Linked DNA regions of Sus scrofa. The protein of the gene in region 5 interacts with the protein of the main gene of each other region in a pairwise test. Links are inferred from orthologs where the notes say so. Each region holds a gene or a part of one and is shown on either strand. Other genes may lie near its edges.

Region 1 (4,099 bases), on a different chromosome or scaffold from region 5:
GCCATTCAGTGGATATTTATGGGATACCGGGACTGTGTGCCAGTCACGGTACTGAGAATTGAAGATACAGAGAAAAACAAAGCGAAACAACTAGATGAGAGTCGGTGTTTCAAAATACAGCAAGTCTAGTAGGGAGACCTTTCTGTTATATTGGCAGTAATGTCGTCATTATTTGGGGTTTATTATTGTTACTGGACTTATCAGTATTATCTTGCAAAGTAGAAAAGTCACTTCGAATCTATTTGCTTTTTGCCCCCCCCCCCCCCGCAGAGAACTGTTCTAAACAGTTAAAAAAAAAAAACAACCTTCCAAATGTAGGGAAGACATATATAAACGAGTTGTAAAATTCTGTGGTGAAAACAGCATGCACTGAGGTTCTGTGGAGTAAGAATTCTCCTTTTATAGGAAAAAAGTGACTTAAGTTTGACTCTCCCAGTTAATCTGGTTACTAAAGTTATATGCGACTTATTTTTAATAAGTAGAAAGCCAGCGCATCTGTTCCTTGACGGGCGTTTGTCGCCGTGGCTCCCTTCGGCCGGTACCTTCAGGTGCGAGCACCCAGGAGTCCTTCTCTGGCCAGAGCGCGCCGTCCCCTCCTGTGCTCGTGTCTTAGAAGATAATCTGCGTGTCACTCAGCAGGTGCAGAACACATGCTGTTCCAGGCGTGATAGATGTGTCTCGGGAAGTTAGGACAGGGTGATCCCAGGACCAGTGAACACGTGTTTTTTTTTTTTGTTTTTTTTTTTTTTTTTTTTTTTTTTTTTTTTTTTTTTGCTGACAGCTCTTAAAAATTCTAGCATGACAGGCGGTAGAGACACTAGTCAAGAGCAAAGATTCTGGAGCCACAGTAACTGAGTTTTAATCTAGCCATGCTCCGCGTTAGCTGAGTGGCAGTGGGCGCAGTATTTAATATTTCAGCACCTCAGTTTCCTCATGTGTAAAATTGGGGTGATGATACTGTCTGCCTCATAGATTGTTAGGAGAATTAAGCGAGTAAATATTTGTAGGACAGAATAAACTGCTTGGTGCAGAGCGTTATATGTATGGGTGCGAGTAGATGCTTTGTTACCTGTGGATGTTTTTGGTACTAATCACAGAATAATAAGGTACTGTGTATAGTTCTAGGGCCTGGTCAGTTGATGCTGAGTAAGTTGAATGGTGACGTAGCTTTTTCTAGCTTTTCTTAGTTTCTCCTGCCCACCAACCCCAAGACGTCTTAAAAATTGGAAGTCTCTTTATTGGCATATTGTGCAATAATCCTGGGAATTCAACCTGACCCCTGAGATCTAAATCAGAGGTCACGCTTTGCTAAAGCCAGGCCTTCTGTACAGATCCCGGGGGCAGGGGTCGGAGGCGTCTTAGCGTCTCGGGGGCCCCCTGTGCTCCGTGGAGCCCGAGGGGATCTGTGATCATCCACTCCCACCGCCCAACCACAGTCCTCAGAGACCAGCACTGCCCTGCGTTGGTTCACATGCTGGTTTCGGAGAAGGAACGTCCATGCAAAACGTTAGGAAGCCGGTTCTGGCATGGCTTTGACGTCCCTCGGACGCAGGCTACCTTGCCTTGCAGGGTGGAGTCTTCTCCCTGCCTCCCACAAAGGGCACCCCACAGCCTTCACCTCCCTCTTTCAGGCAGCTGGTCTTTGCACACCTAAGAGCTCCAGGCTTAGAATTGCGTCTCCGACAGGACACTGTGGTTTGATGTGGCTGATGGTAGGCTCTTTATTTTTTTTTTAATTCCAACCCCATGGTACTATGATTACGTGCCATGGGAAGGGTTATGGATAAAATGCCAGTCTTCCTACGCCCCGTTGTGCAGGGCAGCGTCATTGTGTATCAGGCTCTTAATGGTGCTCCAGAGCTGCTGGTTGGAAACAGCACCAACCTCCCAGGCCTCAGCTCCTCCCTGGCAGAGTGGCTTGTGCCAGCAGGGTGGGTGGCGCGGGCTGTGACTGGTGGAGAGGGAGAACCTGGAAGGCAGGGGCAGCAGTGAGGCGCCGCCACGGTGCGGGCGATGGGGTGAGCAGAAGGGGCAGGATTCGGGAGCCAGTTCCGGCGTAGAATCTACAGGACTCCCGGACGGATTGGCTGGAGTAGATCAGTGGGAGCGGCGGTCAGCTGTGGGGTCTCTGCTCGAGAGGACAGTGACGTTCTCATGATCCCATGACTGGCTCACGGCACACAGTGGCCAACGTGGGACCTGCGGCCACCGTCCTGAGGTGGGGTTATCAGGACTCAGGAGGCCTCGCAGTGCTGGGAGGCTGTGTTGTTTTGCTGCCCAGGCCTTTCCTGTCCCCTTAACTCGCCACTGGGGTTGCTGTTTAAGGAATCCAAGTTCATCTCGTCCAGTGGTGGGGTTGGACCATCCCTGACTTTCGTTTTCTTCGTCTTAAAATTGAAGATCTCATATTACTTCCTTTAACTTTCCTTTGGGGAATGCAAAGGATAAATGGAAAAAAAAGAGGAATCTTGTTTTTGAACGTATATATGACAGGAGTTCCCACTGTGGCTCAGCAGGTTATGAACCCAGCTAGTATCCATGAGGATGTAGGTTTGATCCCTGGCCTTGCTCAGTGGGTTAAGGATCCGGCGTTGCCGTAAACTGTGGTATAGGTCGCAGATGTGGCTCGGGTCCTACATTGCTGTGGCTCTGATTCGATCCCTAGCCTGGGAACCTCCGTATGCCACAAGCACGGCCCAAAAGAACCAAAAAAGAAAGAGAAGGATCTCTAACAAAGAGATCCTGATGGAGGTACACTGAGTGATGCATCGCAGTCCAGCTCGAGGATAAGGAAGTCACACGGCCTGGGGAACTAGGACGTCCTCATTTGCCGGCTGTTTCCGAGGTGAACGGCTTTTAGAGCCCACAAGTCGTGGGGGGCGGGGAGGGGCAGCCAAGGCGGTCTGTCCTTTCGGTCGAACTCTCCTGTCTGTTTTAACTTGTTGCATCTCCTTATACTCAATACTGTGAGAGCCTTCTTTTAAAAAGTGGCTTACTTGTTGCAGGTAATTCAACAGATTCTTTTACCCGAAAGTGAATGTTATTGTGTATTTTTTTTTCTTGTTTAAAAATTCAGGCCTGGGGTTGGGGGAGCCAGACCTGGACCTGGTCGTGATGGCATAAGGCTGCCATTTCTTAACCAGGCAACTCTAACATGAAAGCAGGCAAGCGAGCTCTTGTCCTCTGCCAGCGCTGTCAGTGAGAGGACACTTACCGCTGCGGCTACAGAAATCCCTTACGGGGCATTCAGGGCCTTCCAGCCTTTGCATAGTACTTGTCATATGCTGGGCACCCTTCTGAACAGAAACTAACCTGTACCCCTCCGGGAGGTATGTACTATTATTTTTCCCTTTTTACCAAAGAAGATAGTGAGGCAAAGCCGGGTTAAGTAGCCTGGGACCAGCCACAGGGCTAGGACTGTGTGGGTCCAGGCAGAGTCCAGAGTCCGCTCTCCTGTGCTCCCCTCCATGATTCTCGGCCCTGCTGGTCCGTTAGACTCATCTGGAGAGCTTGCAAGAGGGCCGGGGGCCTAGCCCTACCTGGGACCAGTCCGAGCTTCACTCTTCGCCCTTCCCGGGGTCTCTCTCCCAGTCTTTCTGGCTGACCATGCCCCGTCCTTCCCTGATTTCATGGCACATGTAGGGGTTTAATGGCCTTTTACAGTTCAGGATACACAGCTTTCTGGTTTGGCTCTGTTAGGCAGGGCCCTGGAGCTAGGGACGTCCTGCCCACTATGTGTGTCCTGGCCAGGGCCCCACACAGCATTGTGCCCAAACCCAGCCCGTGATTGTGTGTGGTTGTCACTTTGCCTCAGGGGGGATCTCATAAGGTACACGGAGAGCACAGATGGTGACTTGGGCAGATCTAATCTGAGTGGCCCTGGCGTGTCCGAGCTGCAGTTTGCTTACCGTGGACTTGGAGAGGTGGTCAAGTTAGAGGCTGATTGTGCAGATTAAATGAGATGCATGAAAGTACAGAACAGGCTCCTGCCGGCAGGAGGCAATCAGAAATAAATGCCGAGTTCCTTCTGTGTAAACTAAGCATGGTTTTGACTGTGAAGAAGCACTTGAAAATACCCTCTTCGGCTTTCAGTCAGAAG
Region 2 (3,937 bases), on a different chromosome or scaffold from region 5:
GTTTGGCCCACAAAACTAAAGACTTTTCCCAGAAAAAGTTCACTAATTTTTGTCTTAAGAGTCCAAAAGAGCACAAGTCACTGACGAGTGACTTTCTATAAACATTCCATCATACCGACAGACCTTCCACATACATCCTTTAACTTTCTACTTCCTGTCAGGAGTACCCTCCAGCCTCCAATAGCTGACCAGGACAGAGGACTTCAAGCACACTAGGAAACAAATGAGTCAGTATTAAATCCTCAACCTTCTCATTCTTGCTCTGTTCTTAGCTCTGGCTGAACAGCTCTGCCAGACAAGGATAAGGCAACCTAATATAGCAGTTCCATTCCTTCTCATAGGCTTACCCTCCTCCATCTGTACTGTGTCTCCTGCAATCCTGCTATTAAATTCTTTCTTGTCAATGGTCAAAATTGCTAATCCAACTAGAGAACCTGGGTAAGTTTTTTTCCCTCTCTCCTTTGCCTCCAATGTCCACCTGAATCTTCCTCAATGCAGGTGAAATTTTTTTTTTCTTTTAACTTCTTCCTTCCTACCCCCCAAATTAGATTGTTGGTTTGAGCCATAATCACTCAGCACATCTCCATTTGACTTTTTTTTTTGGTCTTTTTAGGGCAGCACCTGTGGCATATGGAGGTTCCCAGGCTAGGGGTCGAATTGGAGCTGTAGCTGCACAGCCACAGCAATGTCAGATCCAAGCCGCACTTGCGACCTACACCACAGCTCACAGCAACACTGGATCCTTAACCCACTGAGAGGCCAGGGATTGAACCTGCGTCCCACGGATGCTAGTCAGATTTGTTTCTGTTGAGCCACGACAGGAACTCCTCCATTTGACTTATTCCAAGAGCTAAAACAACTGCTGCTAAAATCATTTCAATGCCTGCACTGCCAATCCACTTCTTTGAAATCTACATGATTACAAACCATAAGCAAATGACTCTGTTCAGTAATGATTCAAATTTTGTTAATATGCCTGTAAGTAGTACTTTAGAAACTAAATTACACTATGATTTATCCTCCACCCTCATCTTATTCATCCCTAGTTACACTCTAGCTCAACACCATTCATGTCTTGCACATGCAACATTTACTCTCTAATCTTTCAAGAGATTATACATTTCTTGCTTTCTTTTATTGGAAACTCCATTATTCTCTAAACATGGTATCTAACAGTTTGCATCTATGAGGGGGTGTTTAGCAACAAGCAGTACAGAGTAGTAATTAAGGGCTAGGGCTTTGGAGCCAGACTGCTTGAGTTTAAGTTCTGTCTACACTCTTTATTAGAAGTGTAACTTTTTTTTTTTGGTCTTTTTAGGGCTGCACCAACGGCATATGGAAGTTCCTAGGCTAGGAATCAAATCAGATGCAGCTGCTGGTCTCCACCACAGCTACAGCAAGGTGAGATCTGAGCCATGTCTGCGACCTACACCACAGCTCATGGCAATGCCAGATCCTTAACCCACTGACCGAGGCCAGGGATTGAACCTGTATTCTCATGGATACTAGTTGGGTTCGTTATCCTGAGCCACAACAAGAACTCCAGTAGTGTAACTTTGAACAAATTACTTGCTTTTTGTTTCAGGTGCCTCAGATGTAAGAGAGGGATAATAACTGTACCCATTTAAAAAGGTTGTTATGGGGATTTCATGGGTTATTAAGTGGATTTCATGCAAAGCAATTACAACAGTGTCCAGCACAAAGCAAGGACTATAGATGTTTGCTACTTCTATTATTTAAGTTTTAAGGCCTGTCTATTCCTCCTGTTTTAATTCCTATATTTATTTTATCTATTTTTGCCTCCCCTCCCCAATCTGAAATTAGTATGTTTAAATTAATCCAACTTCAAATCTGGAAATCAATTTTGTTTAAAGTTCTGGGTGACATAATTCACTTTCACCTAAAGTATTAAAATTCTCTCCATTCCCATCACCACTCAAACCTTTCACCCAGATCAGATCTAGCTGGTCGTTAAGACTGTAATTTGGACCCCTGTTGGGTCTTTCTTTCACCAATGTATTTTCTCCACAGGACAGTAAAAGTTATGGTGACAAGAAAGAAGCACAGCTAATGCTACTTTGCTCCGTGTTCAATAGCTTCGCAATGACACAAGATTAAAAAACAAAACAAATCTTAACCTAGCCTAAAATTCCTTACATGCTGCAACTACTGGTTCATTTTCCAGGCCCATTTCCTGCTGCTTGCCTTTCACACATACCGAATGACTTTTAGTTTCCGGAAAAAAAAACGGATTTGGGGGGAGTTTGCCCCTCAGACTTCTGAATTCGCTTTCCCATTCGTCTATGTCTCTATAGCCCCCTTGCCCCCCAACCCCCACCCTTCAGTCTTAACTCTACTCCACCACTTGCAGAAGCTCAAGTACTTTGCCGGAGCTTCCGGCGCTTCTAGCATCACTGCACTTAGTACGCTGTATCCTAACTGCCTGCTTACGTGTCTGTCTCTCCTGTGGGACCAAGAACTTTGTGAGAGATTCCGCTGGATTCATTATCCTGTTCCCAGTGGCTAACCTAGAGCAGGCGTTAAGTGAATGAATGAACGCGAGAGCAGGAAGTCCCCTGCGCTCGCCGTACGCCCGCTGCCTGCGCCCCAGCCAAGTCTGGAAGGCCAGGTATCCCTGCCGCCAGGCCCGCTTCTCTCGCGTCCTCGTACCTTCATGCGCAGCAGGTTCTTGGACAACTTAGTCTTGCGCTCGGCCGCCATTCTGAGTCCCGTCCGGCGCCGCGCTCCGCCCCTTGGCTCGCCGCGCATGCGCCAGGCTGCGTGCGTATCGGCGTCGTATTACGTAGCCCGCGTTCTCCCGCCCCTTGGCTCCGCCCCCGTTTCTCGCGTTCCAAAGCTGCCCGCGCTTTTCGCGCTTCGCCTCAGCGAGCGCTCGCTTCGAGAAGCAGCTTAGGGTAAAGGCACAGACACCTAAGCAGGCGTGAGATCGTTGTGACGCCAGGAGGGAGACCCCAAAAGGCCGCAGTCGAAGGAAGCCCGAGTCCCGGCTGCTGTCGGCCTTCCCTGAGGGCTTTGGCTGGGCTCCTCGGGCCGCGCGCCATCTGAGCGCATCCCGCCTCACGGACCTTGTCCTGCCGCGCCGACCCGGTCACCCTGGTGAGACCTTTGAAACACTTGCCGCACCAGCCATCCGGTCCGGACCGTTTCCTTCACGTGTTTCTAACGTGGCTGGTGGGCTTTCTATGTTCTGCATCACTTTACACATAGTAGTTCGTTTTACATTCACAATAATCCTAGGGAGTGGTCATTATCCCCTTGTTGCAGTTGAGTAAACTGAGGTAAAGGCAGGTTCCGGAACCAGCCCAAAGCCAGAGTAAGGGAGGTAGGATAAACCCAGGTGGTCTGGCTTCAGAATGGCCCTTACAAACGTGTTTAATTCACCTGTTAACTAGGGTGTGCGTCTTTGAACCTAAATGACCTTTCTCTAAAACAGGAGGACTATGAGTGTGAGAAGATACCCTTGTTTTCATCTGAAGAATTAAAAGAATATTGCAAAAATGATAGCTGTAATGCTCTGTGTACCACTTAAAGACAGTTTTTAGGGAGTTCCCGTTGTGACCCATTAGTATCCATGAGGATGTGGCTTGGATCCCTGGCCTTGTTCACTGGGTTTAGGATCTGACATTGCCGTGAGCTGTGCTGTAGATTGAAGATGTGGATCGGATCTAGCGTTGCTGTGGCTGTGGTGTAGGCTGACACCTGTAGCTCTGATTCAACCCCTGGTCTGGGGACTTCCATATGCCTTCAGGTGTGGCCCTAAAAAGCAAAAACAAAAAAAAAATTTTTTTTTCATTTGTAGGTGCTACACTTTGGAAAACACAGCCTAATAATTTTTCAGCTGATTGTGGGCACTGTGTCAAATTCTTATGCTAGGTACCACATGTGTATTATTAATCCCCATAAGAATGCTGAAGAG
Region 3 (4,179 bases), on a different chromosome or scaffold from region 5:
CCACGACGGAACTCCTATACACAATTTTTAAAAAGCTCTTTCAGAAAATTCTGATGCAGAGCAAGGCATGAACCCCTGCAGATAAAAAGGAGTGGCTCTCATGGTTATTCCACCCAAGGCTGGGCTCTTACAATAAGCCACCAATGTGTCTCTCTAGGCCTAATCTTTCCTCCTTTACACCAAATCAAATTAATACTTCCCCCCTCCTTTTAAAGGGGGCACCTTCGGCATATGGAAGCTCCCGGGGTTAAGGGCTGAACTGGAGCTGCAGCTGCCAACCTACGCCACAGCCACAGAAACACCAGATCCAAGCTGCGTCTGTGACCTACACCACAGCTCTCGGCAACACCAGATCCTTAATCCACTGAGCAAAGCCAGGGATCAAATTTGCATCCTCATGAATGCTACTCAGGTTCGTAAGCCGCTGAGCCACAACTCGAACTCCTGGATCAATATTCTCTTTTTTTTTTTTTTTTGTCTTTTTTTGCTATTTCTTGGGCCGCTCCCGCGGCATATGGACGTTCCCAGGCTAGGGGTCGAATCGGAGCTGTAGCCGCAAGCCTACGCCAGAGCCACAGCAACATGGGATCCGAGCCTCGTCTGCAACCTACACCACAGCTCACGGCAACGCCAGATCCTTAACCCACTGAGCAAGGGCAGGGACCGAACCCGCAACCTCATGGTTCCTAGTCGGATTTGTTAACCACTGCGCCGCAACGGGAACTCCCTGGATCAATATTCTTAAATGCCATTTTGTACACAGTTCCACCTCCACCAGACTCAGAACTTTTTCAGCAGTCCTCTATTGAAGGTACAAGACAGAACTCAGTGTCCTTAGCCCGACAATTGTGGACTTCCATATACATTCTCCAAAAAAAAAAAAAGAACCATCTTAAACCAACAATTAAAACAACGTCACACCAATCTATTTCCTACTCCCTAAACATACCTTGAGAATTTACACTGCAGCAGCTTTATGCTCTTCTCTCCACGTGTAATAGCTTCCCTTCCTCAACATCTAAGACCTTTCTTAAATTCTTTCTCAAGGATTCCTCAAGTGCAATGGAAACCAATATACGTACAGTGCTATACAATTTACAGAGCTCCATATTATACATTTTACCTACCTAAGCCATAAGAAAAATAGATGTTATTATTCTCATTTTTTTAAAAAAGTGAGAGATTTAATACATTCTCAAGAACATGTAGCTAGTCATGACCTAAAACAGAGGTTTTTGATTCCAAATCCTGTCCTCTTTCTACGTTTTTTTTTGTCCTTTTTTTTTTTTTTTTTTTTTTTTAGGGCTGCCCCCATGGCATATGGAGGTTCCCAGACTAGGGGCTGAACTGGAGCTGGAGCTGCCGGTCTACACCACAGCCACAGCAACACTAGATCCTTAACCCACTGAGCAAGGAGAGGGATCAAATCTGCATCCTCATGGATGCTAGTCAGATTTGTTTCCACTGAGCCATGATCGACAGCAGAGTCCCAGTTAAATTTGAATTTCAGGAGTTTCCTCTGTGGCTCAGCAGTTAATGAACCCGACTAGCATCCATGAGGACTTGGGTAGCATCCTGGCCACCCACAGTGGGTTAAGGATCTGTCACTGCCATGAGCTGTGGCGTAGGTCGAAGACGCAGCTTGGATACTGCAGTGCTGCAGCTCTGGCAGAGGCCAGGGTTACAGCTCCTACTGGACCCCTAGCCTGGGAACCTCCATATGCCGAGGGGAGGCCCTAAGAAGACAAAAGACAATAAAATAAAAAAATAAAAATAAATTTGAATTTCAGATAAACAATAACTTTTTAGTATAAGTATGTTCCACATAATATTTGAGATATACTTATATCCATTTTTAACATCAAAACATATTGCTTATTTGAAATTCAAATTTAAATGGGCAGCTTATATGCAATCTAGCAATGCTAACCTCCTGGCAGAGATACTCTTGGGTGTCTGTCCATCCAACTGGCTATTTGTTTGTGTTTGCGTACTAGTCTGTGTTTATTCTATGCTCACACTTAGAAGAAACTCCTGAAACCCTGCAAAAGTTTGTGTTCTCAGCTTCTAATCCGACTCCTAATAGCTACTCAGCCAAGTATGAGACTGATGAAGAGAGCTAGCTCACTGGATAAGAGCCCTTGTGTCAGATAATTCTGGGTTTAAATTTTAGCTCCACTACTTAATTAGCTGTGTGACTTTGTGTAAGTCATTTTAAAATTGACGAGACTCCGTATCCTCATCTGTAAAAGGGAGGGACTTTAAGTATAGTGAGGTTTAAGTGAAATAAAGTAAGTTAAACGCCTGACATTTAGAAAGCAACCTGTAAGCTGTACCTTTGAAGATGATACAGAGAAAGGCAATAGAGTTAGACACGAGTAAATGGGGACGGGGAAGGGATTTATCATCTCTTCCTAACATCCATCATTTAGAAGAGGAGGGCAGAAGACCATCAGGATGAGTCTGAGAGTCGAACTCTAGCTAAAGACGCTGGAATAGAGAAAGGCAGCAAGAATCGGCCGGTCAATGGCTGTACGCGGGCTGAGGATTAAAGGGGGACACCCGGGGCCTGTTCTCCGGGAACTAACTCCGGGGCCCGGGGATGACTCAGGGAGTCGATGCACCGCCTTCCTTCCCGGCCCGGGGCCTCAACTCGCCCATAAGGCCCCGTCCCCACCCCAGGCCTGCCCGGCCTCCGAGCTACACGCGCCCCCGACCCAGTCCCGCTGCCCCACAGGGGCCCGAAGTAGTTCCTCACCAAACCATAGTGCTTTCTAACACCATCTTGCCAGCTTTCTCCCTCCCCGACCGGTTCTCCTGGACCACCTAACAACAACTCCTCCAATTGGCCCAGCGTTCATCACCAATCATAGGTCTCTGATCGACCAACTGGTTCCGCCTCCATCCTCCGCGATGCGTTCTGGGAATTGTAGGCGCCGCCAAAATAAAAGGGATTGCAGTTTCCTTGTGGCTGAAGGGGTTAAGGATTCTTCCTCGTCACTGCAGCGGCTTGGGTGGCTGCTGTGGCGCTGGTTACATCCCTGGCCCTGGAAATCCACATGCAGCCGGCGTGGCAAAAAAGAAAAAAGACAAGTGCTATGGTTATGTCTGTTCCAGCATCATCTTTTAAAAATAATGGTGGGATGACTAGTGACTTTTCAGCTCCCCCTGTTCCCCATGGCACTTTGTTCGTCTAACTGCTAAACCCTTTTACCCCTGAATTGCATTTGTTTGTGTATCTAACGCTCCCTTTTCATTAAGAGCAGGAAAGTTGTCTTTTTTTTTTTTTTTTTTCCATTATAGCTGGTTTACATTGTTCTGTCAATTTTCCGATGTAGAGCAAGGTGACCCGTTATAGCACAATTTTGAAGCCAGGTGATGGGTACATGGGGAACTCATTATACTTTTCATTCTTCTTTTGCATACATTTTTTTTTTTTTTTTTGTCTTTTTTTGCTATTTCTTTGGGCCGCTCCCGCGGCATATGGAGGTTCCCAGGCTAGGGGTCGAATCGGAGCTGTGGCCACCGGCCTACGCCAGAGCCACAGCAACGCGGGATCCGAGCCGCGTCTGCGACCTACACAACAGCTCACAGCAACGCCGGATCCTTAACCCACTGAGCAAGGGCAGGGACCGAACCCGCAACCTCATGGTTCCTAGTCGGATTCGTTAACCACTGCGCCACGGCGGGAACTCCAGGAAAGTTGTCTTAATCACTTCTATCCCTGAGCCCACTACATAGCCTAACACATGGTAGGAATGCAGAAAAGTTTTTACAAATCAATAATTTTAACTAATCTCCCAAAGAATGGGAGATAACTTAGTCAACCATATTGGATTTTAATCAAAAATTCCATTTAAGGAGTTCCCGCTCTGGCGCAATGGGTTACGAATCCCATGCAGAGTTGCAGGTGGCTATGGAGGTGAGGAATCCATCCCCATCCCCTGGCTGCAGTGGGTTAAAAGATGCTGCATTACCCCCTGTAGCTTAGGTTGCAACTGCAGCGCAATTCAAATCCCTGGTGCAGGAAGTTCGGTATGCCTTGAGTGGCATCACTTAAAAAAAAAAATTTTTTTTTTTTTTTAAATGCTAGGAGTTCTTTTGTGTCCCAGTGGGTTAAGGATGAATCCGTTATTGGAGTTCCTTTTGTGGACCAGCGGAAACGAATCTGACTAGGAA
Region 4 (4,267 bases), on a different chromosome or scaffold from region 5:
GGGCATATGTGTGAGTTGAACTCTAGGGCATCTCCCTAGAAATGGAAATAGATGGTCATGAGCTATGGACATTAATGTGTGTTTTATTCCATTCTACTCTCCCAAGAGGCCAAACCAATTTACACTCTCACCAGGGGCATCAGCTCTACTTGATGTTTTCGTGGGGGGTGTCTAGGGAGTCCTCAGACTTGACTTTGCAGCAGGCATGTGCTCAGATGTGCTGTGTCCAATATATCACGAGTTCCCAGTAGACTAGCCTGCAAGTATGCTCAGGACTATGTGGCTAACTCCTTGGTCATTTGGGTTCTCTTTGCTCTGAGAAGAGTCCCCAAGGTGGAATCTTTTGAGGAACTTGGCTATCCTGATATGCTTGCTTGGGGAGAGGGGATCAACATATCAGTTTGAGGAGTTCCTTGTCGTGGCTCAGTGGTTAACGAATCAGACTAGGAACCATGAGGATGTGGCTTCAATCCCTGGACTTGCTCAGTGGGTTAAGGATCCGGTGTTGCCGTTAGCTGTGGTGCAGGTTGCAGAGGTGGCTCGGATCCTGCTTTGCTGGGGCTGTGGCGGAGGCGGGCATCTACAGCTGCGATTAGACCCCTGGCCTGGTAGACCCCTGGCCTGGGAATCTCCATAAGCGTTGGGAGCGGCCCTGAAAAAGGCAAAAAGACAAACAAAACCATATCAGTTTGAGAATCTGTGGCTGTTCAGACAAATGCCAAAACCTGGCCTTTAGATTTACGATGTGAGGTGGGAGGGCTCCGTTTGGCCAACGGCTTTGCTCAAAGCAAGTGAATGGGAATAACCAACACTTGTTGAGTTTGAGGTGTACCTCATTTTCTCTCTTGGACAATGGCCACAGGTGGATATGCCCTGGAGAATTAAGTTCTATGAGTGCACAGTTCTTGTCTGGACCCTTGACAGCCTTACCCTCACAAGAGTCTGGAACCTAAATACTCAATGACTGGAACCTAAATACTCAATGACTGCATGCCTGTTTGTCTCAGAAGAGCTGCCAAGGTGGAAACACTACATTGCATCATCCTGTTTGCAGAATAGGGCCACAAAGGCTGCTGACCACTTAGATGCTCAGAGAAAAAAGTGACTGGCATTTCAGGATGGGAAAGACATTGGTCTTTGCTTCTTTTACTCTCCAGAAGGTCCTTACTGAGATGGGGGTGAGGGTCAAGGGCAGGGGCCAGAATACCGGTGGGTGGGGGTGGGGCAGCACGCACCCCAACATGGCGCCCGCTCGGGGCCTGCGGTGCCGCGTTCGTACAGCTGCGAGGGGGGGGGGGGTCAAAGGCTTTGTGTGGGCCACCCCGCGAGTTTCCCGCCCAAGGGGGCCTCGGCCCTCTCCTCCCAGCTCTGTTCCCGCGGCGGCAACAGGGCGCGCCGCGTCGCTGTCAGCGCATGCGCGCGCGGGAACCCGCCCTCTAGGCTGGCGCACGTGGCCCGGCAGCCCGACGTGCGTGCGCGCGACCGCCGGGCCTCCCGCGTCCGGGGCTCCGGGAGCCTCTCCCTCCTGGACGACGGGTGCGGCCGCCAAAGCTGTGCTGTGTGCGTGTGCGCGCGCGCGCGCGCGCCGGGCCACGTGGGAGCGGCGCGGCGCCGTTGCCCCGCCCTCCCCCGGCGCGCGCCGGCGTCGTCTGCGTCTCCGGGCATTTGAATTGCGCTTCCGCCATCTTTCTAGCCCTCAGTCAGACGGGCGCGGAGACGCTTCTGGAAGGTAGCGGGGCAAGGGTGGAGGCCGAGGAGCCAAGGCGGGGATGGGGGGGTCGGGGCGTCCCGGTGGCTGTGGCTAGCGGCAGCCATGAGGAGGTGGTTTCGCGGGGCCTAGGTGTCAGGTGGAAAGCTCTCTTTCCTGGCCGCGGAGGCCCCGGGCCGGCGCCGGAACCCGGGCCGCAGTGGGCCGGGCGGGCGGAGAGGGTCCCCGGGGCGGCCAGGCGGAGGGGAGATCGGGCTGGAGGGTCCTGGCGGGGGCCAGGGGCGGCTGGGCCTGGTTGTGCTACCGTGACCAGGCGCTTTCCGCGCCCCGGTCTCCGCGCCGAGCGAGCCTCCCTTTCGCCCGGCCTCCGCGCCGACTGGGCGCGCGCCGGGCCCCGGCGGCCGGAGGAGCCCGGCTGAGGAGCAGCGCCGCCGTCGCCATTGGCGCGCCCTCGGCCGCCCGCGTGCGGTGTCGGGGGAGGGGGAGTGGGCGGCGGGGCTCCGGGTTGGAGGCCTTTGTGGGCCCGGGCACGTGGGGCGGGTCGGGCCATGCGGCCCGCGCCGCTGTGCAGCGGGCCTCACTTCTTTCTCCTTCTCTCGCAGTAACATCACGATGGCTGCCCAAGGAGAGCCCCAAGTTCAGTTCAAAGTAGGTAATCCTCGTGAGTTGGGGATCTGCTGCTGTGGACCTGAGGAGGGGATCTGCGGGGGGGGGGGGCTCTTGTCCAAACGGGTTTCACAGGGTCTCCTTTATGACCGCAAACCTGTGTCGAAGGCCCACTTCGTCTGCCAACATGTTCGTGCCGCGGCAGGGCCTTCAGCCCCCCGATAACGGGGTGGGGGTGCTGGCCCCACCCTACGGATAGGGAAGCTGGGCAAGGGAAGTTTCATTGGCTCCAGTCATTCATTAATATGGGACAGGGCAGCTTCATTAAGATTCTTTGTTTTAAATATACTTAAGGGATATTTAAAGTTCTGTTATGTAAGTGCAATGGGTGTCCATAAAATCTTAACTACATAATTCTGAGATCCTGAAATGTTGCGTGTCTTGGTGTTTATTTCAAAAATGTCTTTCGACAGCTTGTATTGGTTGGTGATGGTGGTACTGGGAAAACTACATTCGTGAAACGTCATCTGACTGGTGAATTTGAGAAGAAGTATGTAGGTACGTAGGGGAAAACCATTGATGAAGATGTGTGCGAAATGGATGAGTTCAGCGACTAACTGGAAGTGCTTGTGTTTCAGCTACCTTGGGTGTTGAGGTCCATCCCCTTGTGTTCCATACCAACAGAGGACCTATTAAGTTCAATGTATGGGATACGGCTGGTCAGGAGAAATTTGGTGGACTGAGAGATGGCTATTATATCCAAGGTAGGTGCTTGATTTGTAACCAACAGTTTTCGAGAGGATCTGTGAGTTGGTCTCCAAGGTTGCTTATAAATAATCCGATCTAGTCCAGTAGACTCATGCATAGTACTGACTGAACTGGGAATCGGGTAGTTGGATCCAAAGGATGTGCTGGCTTCAGGGACTTGACCATCATTTGAGGGGCAGAGAATTTTGTGAAGTTTGTTATGTGCCATTTGATTGTGTCATGATAGGCACGGTTTTGGAAGAAACTATGGTTTGTGTTCAGGCTCATAACTTAAAACGCCACAGACAAGCTGTTACTGGAGCTCCTGTATTTGAAAACTTGGGAGTGTTTGAATATATATTTTGGTGATTTCAACGATTATTTCTTGTGCACTCCATTGAAAAGGTAGTAAACATTTGAGCAGATGCTGGACCAGAGGAGCTAGGTCTTCTGTCTTATAAAATGTTGTATAGGACCAGCTGATTTCTTTTTAAATGTACTAGGTCTTGTGGAATATTTATTTCAAAGTGCTTGGTTTAAAAAATGGAAGGAAATAAGTGCTTATACCAAGAAAAAAAGATGAATAAAGAATGCTTATTTCCTAGAATCTTTCTCTTTTGATGAAAATTGTTGAGAATCTTTCCATGTCTTTTGCTTTCCTTGGGTACATACAAATGCAAGGATTCCCGCCAGCCAAATCTTTTAGCTACAAATCTGTGTGATACACTGTGCCTACTTAGTGGCTTAGCAGCCTTATTATGGCTGTTCTATAAGACAATAAATACGGGCTTCACTGAACTTTTGAAAACAGGCACACTATATATTCTCATGTATTTATCTATTTAAGAACCTTTTAAAGAATAGATTCTTACATCCTATATGTGGAAGGTGAGTTCTCTGGAATGCTAATTTATTGTTAATCTACATTGGGTATTTTTTTTTTGAATGAGGCAGAGTTTATGATGAATTACTACAGGTGGAGAGATTTCATATGGTAGGCTGGTCTTTCATGCTTTCACATACAATAAAAGAGAATTTAAAATAATGTATATTTAAATGGTCTAAGATTTTTAGAATTGGTATAGACCTTGCAATTGAATAGAGAAATTAGAGTTAGGCCTGAGATTATGAATCTGAGTCCATAGTTTTCAACATTTTTTTCATTTGGGTAGTAAATTCCTTGGTATGTACTAATTGCTGTACATT
Region 5 (3,286 bases):
TGGTTCAATCCCTGGCCTTGCTCAGTGGGTTAAACATCTGGCATTGCCATGAGCTGTGGTGTAGGTCGCAGACACGGCTGGCATCCCGTGTTGCTGTGGCTGTGATGTAGGCAGGCAGCTGCAGCTCTGATTAGACCCCTAGCCTGGGAACCTCCGTATGCCACGGGTGCAGCCCTCAAAAAAAAAAAAAAAAAAAAAAAAAAAGCAAAAACAGAGAGGAGCTGGGGAGAGGGCTTATTTCACAGGCAGCATTACAAAGAACAGAGGAAATTCCCTCACACTGCATAAGAAACCACAGAAACACATGCACCCAAACATGCAGACAAAAAAAGAAAAGAAAAAAAAAAGCTCACCTTAAATTAGAAACAGCCCTTCCCAGACGCATAACCAAATACAAACACTAACCAAAATTGCTCTCTCTGGTTCATGCAAATGCAGATACACATGTACCCAAAAAAAACCCCACGAAAATAAAGAGGACAAAACACACACACACAGGCTGCAGCTGCTGTACTTTGTTTATTGTCACTGTCACCCTTGGGAAGCTCCAGCCTCTTTAGCATCTTTCTTTTTTTTTTGTTTGGGGTGACCCTGCTTTTCTCTACCCCCTGCCTCTTGCTCCCCAACCTGCCCTTTTTCTCAGGCTGGGGCGGCTTCCCTGGCAGCCCCTCGAGCCTCAGTCACGTGGGGTAAGTCCTGGGGGTGGAGGGGCAGGGCGGCCAGCAGGCCTGGATCCCGCCCCCAGGCACTGATTCCTCCGCAGTCCTGTCTCCATTGCTGTGGGGTGTCTGTGCTCTGGCCTCACCTGGCAGAAGGAAAGCAGATGGTGAAAGCACAAAGGCCCGGGTTCTAATTCTGGCTCTCCTGCTCACTCACCCGTGACTCCAGAGAAAGATCTTACACTCTCTGGGCCTCGGTTTCCCTCTCTCTAAACCAAATTTTGCTCCAGTTGGAAAGGATCTGTTTCCCTCTTTGCTCTGGCCACTAGGGAACTCAGAGTCCAACATATGTCTCATTTTATTCTATGTTGGGACAGCAATTGTTTGATCCCTCCTCCCTGCCCACCCACGCACGTTCAGGCCTGTCCTTTCCTAGCAGAGGGACCTCTACTGGTACTCAGGGAGCCCCTGATTCCTTACCTCGAGTTCTGTTTCAGGTCCGTGCTGCTCGCTTTTTCCGCTCCGTGTTCTGGATCTTGGTCACCAGCTTCCTCTCGTGGCCACCAGGGCTGGGGCGGTTGGTGTTGGCAGCAGCCTCTCTCTTGGTGCGACCTTTCCGGGCTCTCCCTCCTGGGAATCAAGACAGGGGTCCGCGGTGAGGTGGGCAGAGGCGTGATGCCTCAAGGGACGGGCTGGGGGTCCAGCGGGCGGGGGTGGAAGAGCTCGGGTTAAAGTCAGGAGGCTGGGGGGTCATGACCACGTAGCTTTAGGGATGTCCTTGTCCCTGTTTCCCCATCTGTGGAAATAGGGTACCGCCCCCCAATCTGTCATTGCTCCAAACACTCTAGCAGAGTATGAGGTCCCAGGGCCAAGTAGGACGGGGATGCTCAGTGGATGCGGGGTTAGAAGGGGGCAACTTGAAAGATCAAGGGAACAGGCCGGAGAAGGGTGATGGGTGGGCAGGAGCCCAAGGAAGGATTCTAGTGTGGGGAGATGGGGTGTCGGACTGTGTTGGAAATAGAAGGACTGGGAAGGTGGCAGGGCCGGGACTTACCCAGGTAAGAATGAGCCAGGCTATAGAGGTCGTACTCATCCAGGTTGGGGTCTTCATCTTCTGGGCATAGGAGCTGCCTGGGGGGGCTGGCTGCTCGCGGGAAGGTGGTCATAATGTCTCTGTCTCTGTCTCTCTCTTCCTCGCCCATCTTCTAAGGCTGTGTTTGCATCTGCTTTCCTGACACCTCCTAGTTCACGGCCCCGATTTATAAGGCCACGTCTCCTCCTCAGCCCCTAGTCTGGCTCCAGCCCCTCAGGCTCTGTCTGATGCAATCTGGCCTTTTCCCAGAACCCAGCCAAGTAAACACCAGTCACGAGAGGGGAAAGGAGTCATCCCCTCCCCCGTGAGCCCCAGCCCCCCTGCCTCCTCCCTCTCACCGGGGCTCGCCCAGCTGGGTATTTTTCCACAGAGAAGAGCCTCAGGGCTGGGGGCTGGGGAGGAGGGAGGAGGCGGAGTCTGGCATAAACAGCCCTTGGGATCTAAACCAGCAGGGAACTCAGCGCCTCACCTGGTTGACTCCTCCCTGGCCATCGCCTGCCCTCTGCCACATGCCCTTCCTGGGCTGGGGGGTCACGGCCACACAGCTGACCTCCACCCCCATCCGCTTCTGGCTCAGATTCAGGACTGGCGGCAGAACATGGAGTGAAGAATGACCTGGGAGAGGACACAACACACGCTGTGCTCTGTCATGCGTTCTGACCCTGATCTCAACCAACGCCCACTTTTTCTTGTATTTATGTAGTTTCTTTTATAATTTTTTTTTTAGGGCTGCACCCGTGGCATATGGAAGTTCCCAGACTAGAGGTCGAATCAGAGCTGCAGCTGGCAGCCTATGCCTCTGCCACAGCAACACCAGATCTGAGCCGCCTCTGTGACCTACACCACAGCTTACGGCAACGCCAGATCCTTAACCCACTGAGCGAGGCCAGGGATCGAACCCAGGTCCTCATGGATACTAGTTGGGCTTGTTACCACTGAACCACAATGGGAACTCCCCTTTTACTTTTAAATAAGAAACACCTTGGAAAGCCCCCTTAACATCCTGAACTGGGGGTCAGTAGATGATCTCCCCCTCCTGAGATGGGGGCTAGCAGAGTGGTTAAGAATGCAGATTCTGGAGCCAAATGACCTGGATTCAAATCCTTGATCCACTACTTCCTGTGCGACCCTGGACAAGTCACTTTACGTCTCTGGGCCTCAGTTTCCTCCTCTGTAAAAGGAGGATGATAGTTGTATCCAGGTTATAGAGTTGGGGTGACGTTCAAGATAATCCACAGCAAGGCACTTGGAACACTGCCTGCTACAGGGTTAGCTGCGTGGCATCTGTTGATCACACAGTTTCCAAACAGCTCAATATAATGCTCTCCTGGAGTTCCCGTTGTGGCTCATGGGTTATCGAACCCGACTAGCATCTGTGAGGATGTGGGTTCCATCCCTGGCCTCGCTCAGTGGGTTGAGGATCTGGCATTGCTGTGAGCTGTGGTGTAGGTCGCAGACATGGCTCGGATCCCGCATGGCTGTGGCTGTGGGGTAGGCTGGCAGATGTAGCTCCTATTGGACCCCCAACCTGGGA
Region 6 (4,100 bases), about 1.1 Mb from region 5:
AAGGAGTGAACAAGCTTCAGAACACTTCAAAATGTCTGTATAACTAACAAAAGGAGTATTTTGCAGCCACACAGACCTGGATTCGAATTAGACCCCTTACATTTGGCTGTTCCATAATCATAGATTGCATTTGGCCTGAGTCTCATTTTTTTGGTGTATAAAAGATAGCCTTGCTATCTTTCTTCGTAAGATTGTGATGGAAAAGCAATTAATTGGGCTTTTTTTTTTTTGGCCGCGCCCACTGCATGCAGAAGTTCTGGGGCCAGGGAGTGAACCCTTGCCACAGCAGCCACCTGAGCCACAGTAGTGACAACGCCAGATCTTTAACCCACTGTGCCCTGAGAGAACTCTCTAATTGTGCATTCTGAAGCCACTTCAGCCCTATACAAATATCAATTATTGTTGGATCTGCACATTGATTCCTCCGTAGGGTTTCAGGAAAATACTCCCAGCCCTTTATCAGCAAAAGGCTGGGAGAACCCTGATATAATCTCAATCTCCGGATTGTTTGGGCTTTTCTGTCCAACAGCGAGTCAGAAGCCAAGCTTTGAGGTTGTAGGTGGGCCATAAATGCTTAATCAAAACAGGACCCAGGGGTCCGAGCTAAACTCCATGCTTGCTTTCACGTCAAACGTCACAATCCACAAGCCCTGGTAAGGACAACCCTGAAAGACGATGAGTGAAAACCAAGACGAAGAAAGGTAGTGTGTGTGGTCGGGGGAGGGACGTTAGAACCAAGAGAGGGAGGCTGGCGCGGGAGGGAGGATGCATCTGATGCAGTGGAAGGGCAGTGGAGCGGAGAAGCTCGCTATCCGGAGTGAAAGTGAGGCCCAGCGAAAGGGGCCAGCCTGAGGAATTTCGGTTCCCGCCCCACGACTCCCGGCTTTGACTACAGTTCCGCCCGCAGACGCCCTAGGCCCCTCGCCCCGCCCCCAGAGGGTAATCGGACTGTACCATTATGATCTTATAGGGGTGGAAGTGAATCTTTGGCTCGTCCTTCAGAGAAAATATAAATTATTTCTCAGAAAAAATAAGGCTATATATATTATTTGCATGGTTCTTAGTGAATAACAATTATGTTCTGCCGGCTAGGACCCTATATATTCCCTGAAGGGCGGCAGGAGTCCGGCCATGCTTCCCCTTTTCCTTTCCGCATTTGGTGCATTCCCCCAGGATACGTAGGCGGGGGAGGCGTACATAAACCTCGACGCAGGAGGCGGGGCTGCTCAGTCCTCGAGGCGTCGGTGCTCAGCGGTGTTGGAATTCTGTTGCTTGCCGGCCTGTGCGCGCGTGCGCGGACATGGCCTCAAACGGTATGTAAGTGCGCGAGGCGGCGGTGGCGCGCCAGCCCTGGAGCTCGTAAGCTCCCAGTTGGGCTTTTGTTTCTCGGTGGGGCCCGGGCAGCGATCGCATGTAGGATCTTCTCCGCACCACTGGCGGGAAGCAGCGGAGAGGGGTGGAAGGGGGAGGCCGATGTCGCCATTTTGTTTCGCTCCGCTGGCGCCTCGCGCAGGGCGGGAGGTCTTCCCTTTGCAGCCCCTTTCCTTTAGGTGAGGGTTGGGAGGAACTCTTCTTGGTGACTGGGGACGTGAGACGCGGATGGAAATGCTTGGTCCCCGTAGCCTTCTCTCCTCCGCGTCTCCAGCCCCGCGCTCGGGCCCGCTTTGTCGCAGTGCTGCATCCGGGCACTCGGTGCGCGCACGCGCTCTACTGGCCCCTCCCCCCTTTTCTGGCGGCGCGAACCCCCCTCCCGCCTCGTGTCGGCCCTGCTTTTTGTCGCGAGACCCTCCACCGGCAGCTCCGCGGCGCTCGTCCGGTGTGGGCCTCGCTCCCGGGGTCCCTCGGGAAGGGGCGGGACCTCCTCGTTCCCGCCTCGCGTGCCACGCGGCTGGGGGCGGAGGCTTTGGATCGGGACCGCGCGCCCGTTTAACGGCTAGGGGTGGGGGGCTAGGGGGTGGTCCAACGGACTTGGGGACCGGGTGAGGCTTTTCCCGCCTAAATTTTCCTCCTTGGGAGGTAGGAACTGAAAGGAACGGCCGCCTTAGGCCACACCCTCTCCCGATCCTTTTGCCGTTTCCTGCGGGGAAAGCTGTTTCCTGTATCGAGATGAGTTGATCAGGCTTGTGCTGTCTTCCTTGTGGCGTTTTCGTTACCTTGGATTCGCCAAGTCTCCCCGCAGCCCCGAGGCAGGCAGGGGAGATAGGAACTCGTTGGGAGCCGTAGGGCTGAGGACCTGAGTACCAGTCGGCTTGCCTCTCGAGGCGACCGCTCTTTGATGGCGATCTCTGTCGTTTGGGGTCAAAGAATTCTCCCTTCTTGGTGAGCTGGCTCTGCACTAAAAGCCCCCTGTTCCTGTCTCCAAGATTGGATGGAGGGTGGCCTCTCTCCAGATCTTGAGACTTTCTTTGGGTTGAGAAAGTGCAGGCTACAATCGGAACGTTTTTGCTTCTGGCTTGCAATAAAGCCTGTTCTGCTCAAGCAGCTGTGTGGCTTCAGTTGGACTCTTGGGGATACCTTCCTCATAGAGTGGGTGTGAAAACATGTGAGTCAGTTTGTGCAGTTCCGGATATCAGTTGAAGTTGCAGAAAAATGGTAGTTGTCCACCAGGACTCTTGCTTTTTCCAGTACTTAAGGCCTCTTGGTCTCGGTAGAAATTCGCTTTTTTGGTGTGTCTTTATTGTGAGAAAACTTGACTTTGGTCTGCCGTCTTGCCCCTCTCAACTAGGGTTTCAGGAGGGGATTTCTGCCTTGTCAATTTTCACATCTAGGGGCTCTGGGGCTTGAGTTGAGGCCTTTACCTCTAGTTTGTTCTCTTAGGGGTGGCTGAAGGTAATGTTAATATGATTGTATTTTTCTGTTTTGCAGACTATACCCAACAAGCAACCCAAAGGTGAGTGTCATTTCTGGGTTTCCAGAGTTTGTAGGGGGCAAGGGTGGCTAAGGTGTCTTTTCCTGAGAGCACCGTTGTTGCCTTTTCTTCTCCAGCTACGGGGCCTACCCCACCCAGCCTGGGCAGGGCTATTCCCAGCAGAGCAACCAGCCCTACGGACAGCAGAGTTACAGCGGTTACGGCCAGTCAGCGGACACTTCAGGCTATGGCCAGAGCAGCTATGGCAGTTCTTATGGACAGACCCAGAACAGTGAGTCTTTTTAAGTGGGTCACCCTTCCTCTTCCTGCTTTTTCTGAATGTTGCTTTTCTTAAACCTAAGCAGTGCTGAACTGTTGAAACTGTCCCCCAGTTTCTTTGCCCTTAACCAGTCTGTGATCCTTCAAGCTACTTAGAGTTTGAGTTCTTTCCAAGTACTTAATTCTGTTTCCTTTTATTTTCTTTGACTTTGCATTTTTTGATTTATGCTGCACTTCTCCCTGTTTCCCCTAAGAATGAAAGTGAAATTGGGGAAGAATATTCCCTAAAGGGAAAAGAGTTTTAAGTTTTTGATATTTAAAAGGAGAAAATGGGGAGTTCTCATCATGGTGCAGCGGAAACAAGTCGACTAGGAGCCATGAGGTTTCCGGTTTGATCCCTGGCCTTGCTCAGTGGGTTAAGGATCTGGCGTTGCTGTGAGCTGTTGTGTCGGTCACAGACGCAACTTGGGTGTGATCCTGTTGTGGCTTTGGTGTAGGCCAGCTGCTGCAGCTCCAATTCGACCCTTAGCCTGGGACTCTCCCTATGCTGTGGGTGTGACCCTAAAAAGCATAAAAAAAAATAAAAGGAGAAAATGATTTGCTTGAAGACGTTGGAAATCAGCATACTGTATATCACATTGATACACAAAGAGGTGGAATTTGCCCTTAGGTGCTGAAGGGTAAATAATCTGAGATGTACATCACAGGCTGGTTAAATGCTGTTAAAGGAGAGGGATCTCTTGGGCTGTGATTGGCGGTGGTTCAAGAGGCTGGCTTCAGGTGTAGGTAGCATTAGGGATGTATACAGTGTTTCATCAACCTATTCTCATTCCTCAATTCATGACTTTTTTTCTTTTTCTCGTAGCAGGCTATGGCGCACAGTCAGCTCCCCAGGGATATGGCTCAACTGGTGGCTATGGTAGTGGCCAGGGTTCTCAATCGTCTTACGGGCAGCAGTCTTCATACCCTGGCT

The links.
Region 1: the proteins of NUPR1 (region 5) and STX18 interact in a two-hybrid assay, tested with the Homo sapiens proteins (2 studies listed by BioGRID and IntAct). The link is inferred for Sus scrofa from reciprocal best matches to the Homo sapiens genes NUPR1 and STX18.
Region 2: the proteins of NUPR1 (region 5) and MPHOSPH6 interact in a two-hybrid assay, tested with the Homo sapiens proteins (2 studies listed by BioGRID and IntAct). The link is inferred for Sus scrofa from reciprocal best matches to the Homo sapiens genes NUPR1 and MPHOSPH6.
Region 3: the proteins of NUPR1 (region 5) and PSMD4 interact in a two-hybrid assay, tested with the Homo sapiens proteins (2 studies listed by BioGRID and IntAct). The link is inferred for Sus scrofa from reciprocal best matches to the Homo sapiens genes NUPR1 and PSMD4.
Region 4: the proteins of NUPR1 (region 5) and RAN interact in a two-hybrid assay, tested with the Homo sapiens proteins (2 studies listed by BioGRID and IntAct). The link is inferred for Sus scrofa from reciprocal best matches to the Homo sapiens genes NUPR1 and RAN.
Region 6: the proteins of NUPR1 (region 5) and FUS interact in a two-hybrid assay, tested with the Homo sapiens proteins (2 studies listed by BioGRID and IntAct). The link is inferred for Sus scrofa from reciprocal best matches to the Homo sapiens genes NUPR1 and FUS.

The regions. Positions count from the first base shown.
Region 1 is NC_010450.4:5,932,007-5,936,105, forward strand, and holds the start of STX18 (syntaxin-18), read left to right. Parts: upstream 1-1,299; 5' UTR 1,300-1,526; coding exon 1,527-1,712; intron 1,713-1,988; exon of another isoform or gene 1,989-2,218; intron 2,219-2,539; exon of another isoform or gene 2,540-4,099. UniProt on the Homo sapiens protein: Syntaxin that may be involved in targeting and fusion of Golgi-derived retrograde transport vesicles with the ER.
Region 2 is NC_010448.4:6,253,385-6,257,321, reverse strand, and holds the start of MPHOSPH6 (M-phase phosphoprotein 6), read right to left. Parts: upstream 2,801-3,937; 5' UTR 2,770-2,800; coding exon 2,671-2,769; intron 1-2,670. UniProt on the Homo sapiens protein: RNA-binding protein that associates with the RNA exosome complex. Involved in the 3'-processing of the 7S pre-RNA to the mature 5.8S rRNA and play a role in recruiting the RNA exosome complex to pre-rRNA; this function may include C1D.
Region 3 is NC_010446.5:98,001,845-98,006,023, forward strand, and holds the start of PSMD4 (26S proteasome non-ATPase regulatory subunit 4), read right to left. Parts: upstream 2,801-4,179; 5' UTR 2,785-2,800; coding exon 2,759-2,784; intron 1-2,758. UniProt on the Homo sapiens protein: Component of the 26S proteasome, a multiprotein complex involved in the ATP-dependent degradation of ubiquitinated proteins.
Region 4 is NC_010456.5:24,315,225-24,319,491, reverse strand, and holds the start of RAN (GTP-binding nuclear protein Ran), read left to right. Parts: upstream 1-1,467; 5' UTR 1,468-1,729; intron 1,730-2,310; 5' UTR 2,311-2,320; coding exon 2,321-2,356; intron 2,357-2,787; coding exon 2,788-2,872; intron 2,873-2,952; coding exon 2,953-3,078; intron 3,079-4,267. UniProt on the Homo sapiens protein: GTPase involved in nucleocytoplasmic transport, participating both to the import and the export from the nucleus of proteins and RNAs. Switches between a cytoplasmic GDP- and a nuclear GTP-bound state by nucleotide exchange and GTP hydrolysis.
Region 5 is NC_010445.4:18,401,626-18,404,911, reverse strand, and holds NUPR1 (nuclear protein 1), read right to left. Parts: upstream 2,132-3,286; 5' UTR 1,862-2,131; coding exon 1,714-1,861; intron 1,290-1,713; coding exon 1,153-1,289; 3' UTR 1,140-1,152; intron 806-1,139; 3' UTR 501-805; downstream 1-500. UniProt on the Homo sapiens protein: Transcription regulator that converts stress signals into a program of gene expression that empowers cells with resistance to the stress induced by a change in their microenvironment.
Region 6 is NC_010445.4:17,323,766-17,327,865, reverse strand, and holds the start of FUS (RNA-binding protein FUS), read left to right. Parts: upstream 1-1,300; coding exon 1,301-1,313; intron 1,314-2,865; coding exon 2,866-2,890; intron 2,891-2,985; coding exon 2,986-3,140; intron 3,141-3,992; coding exon 3,993-4,100. UniProt on the Homo sapiens protein: DNA/RNA-binding protein that plays a role in various cellular processes such as transcription regulation, RNA splicing, RNA transport, DNA repair and damage response. Binds to ssRNA containing the consensus sequence 5'-AGGUAA-3'.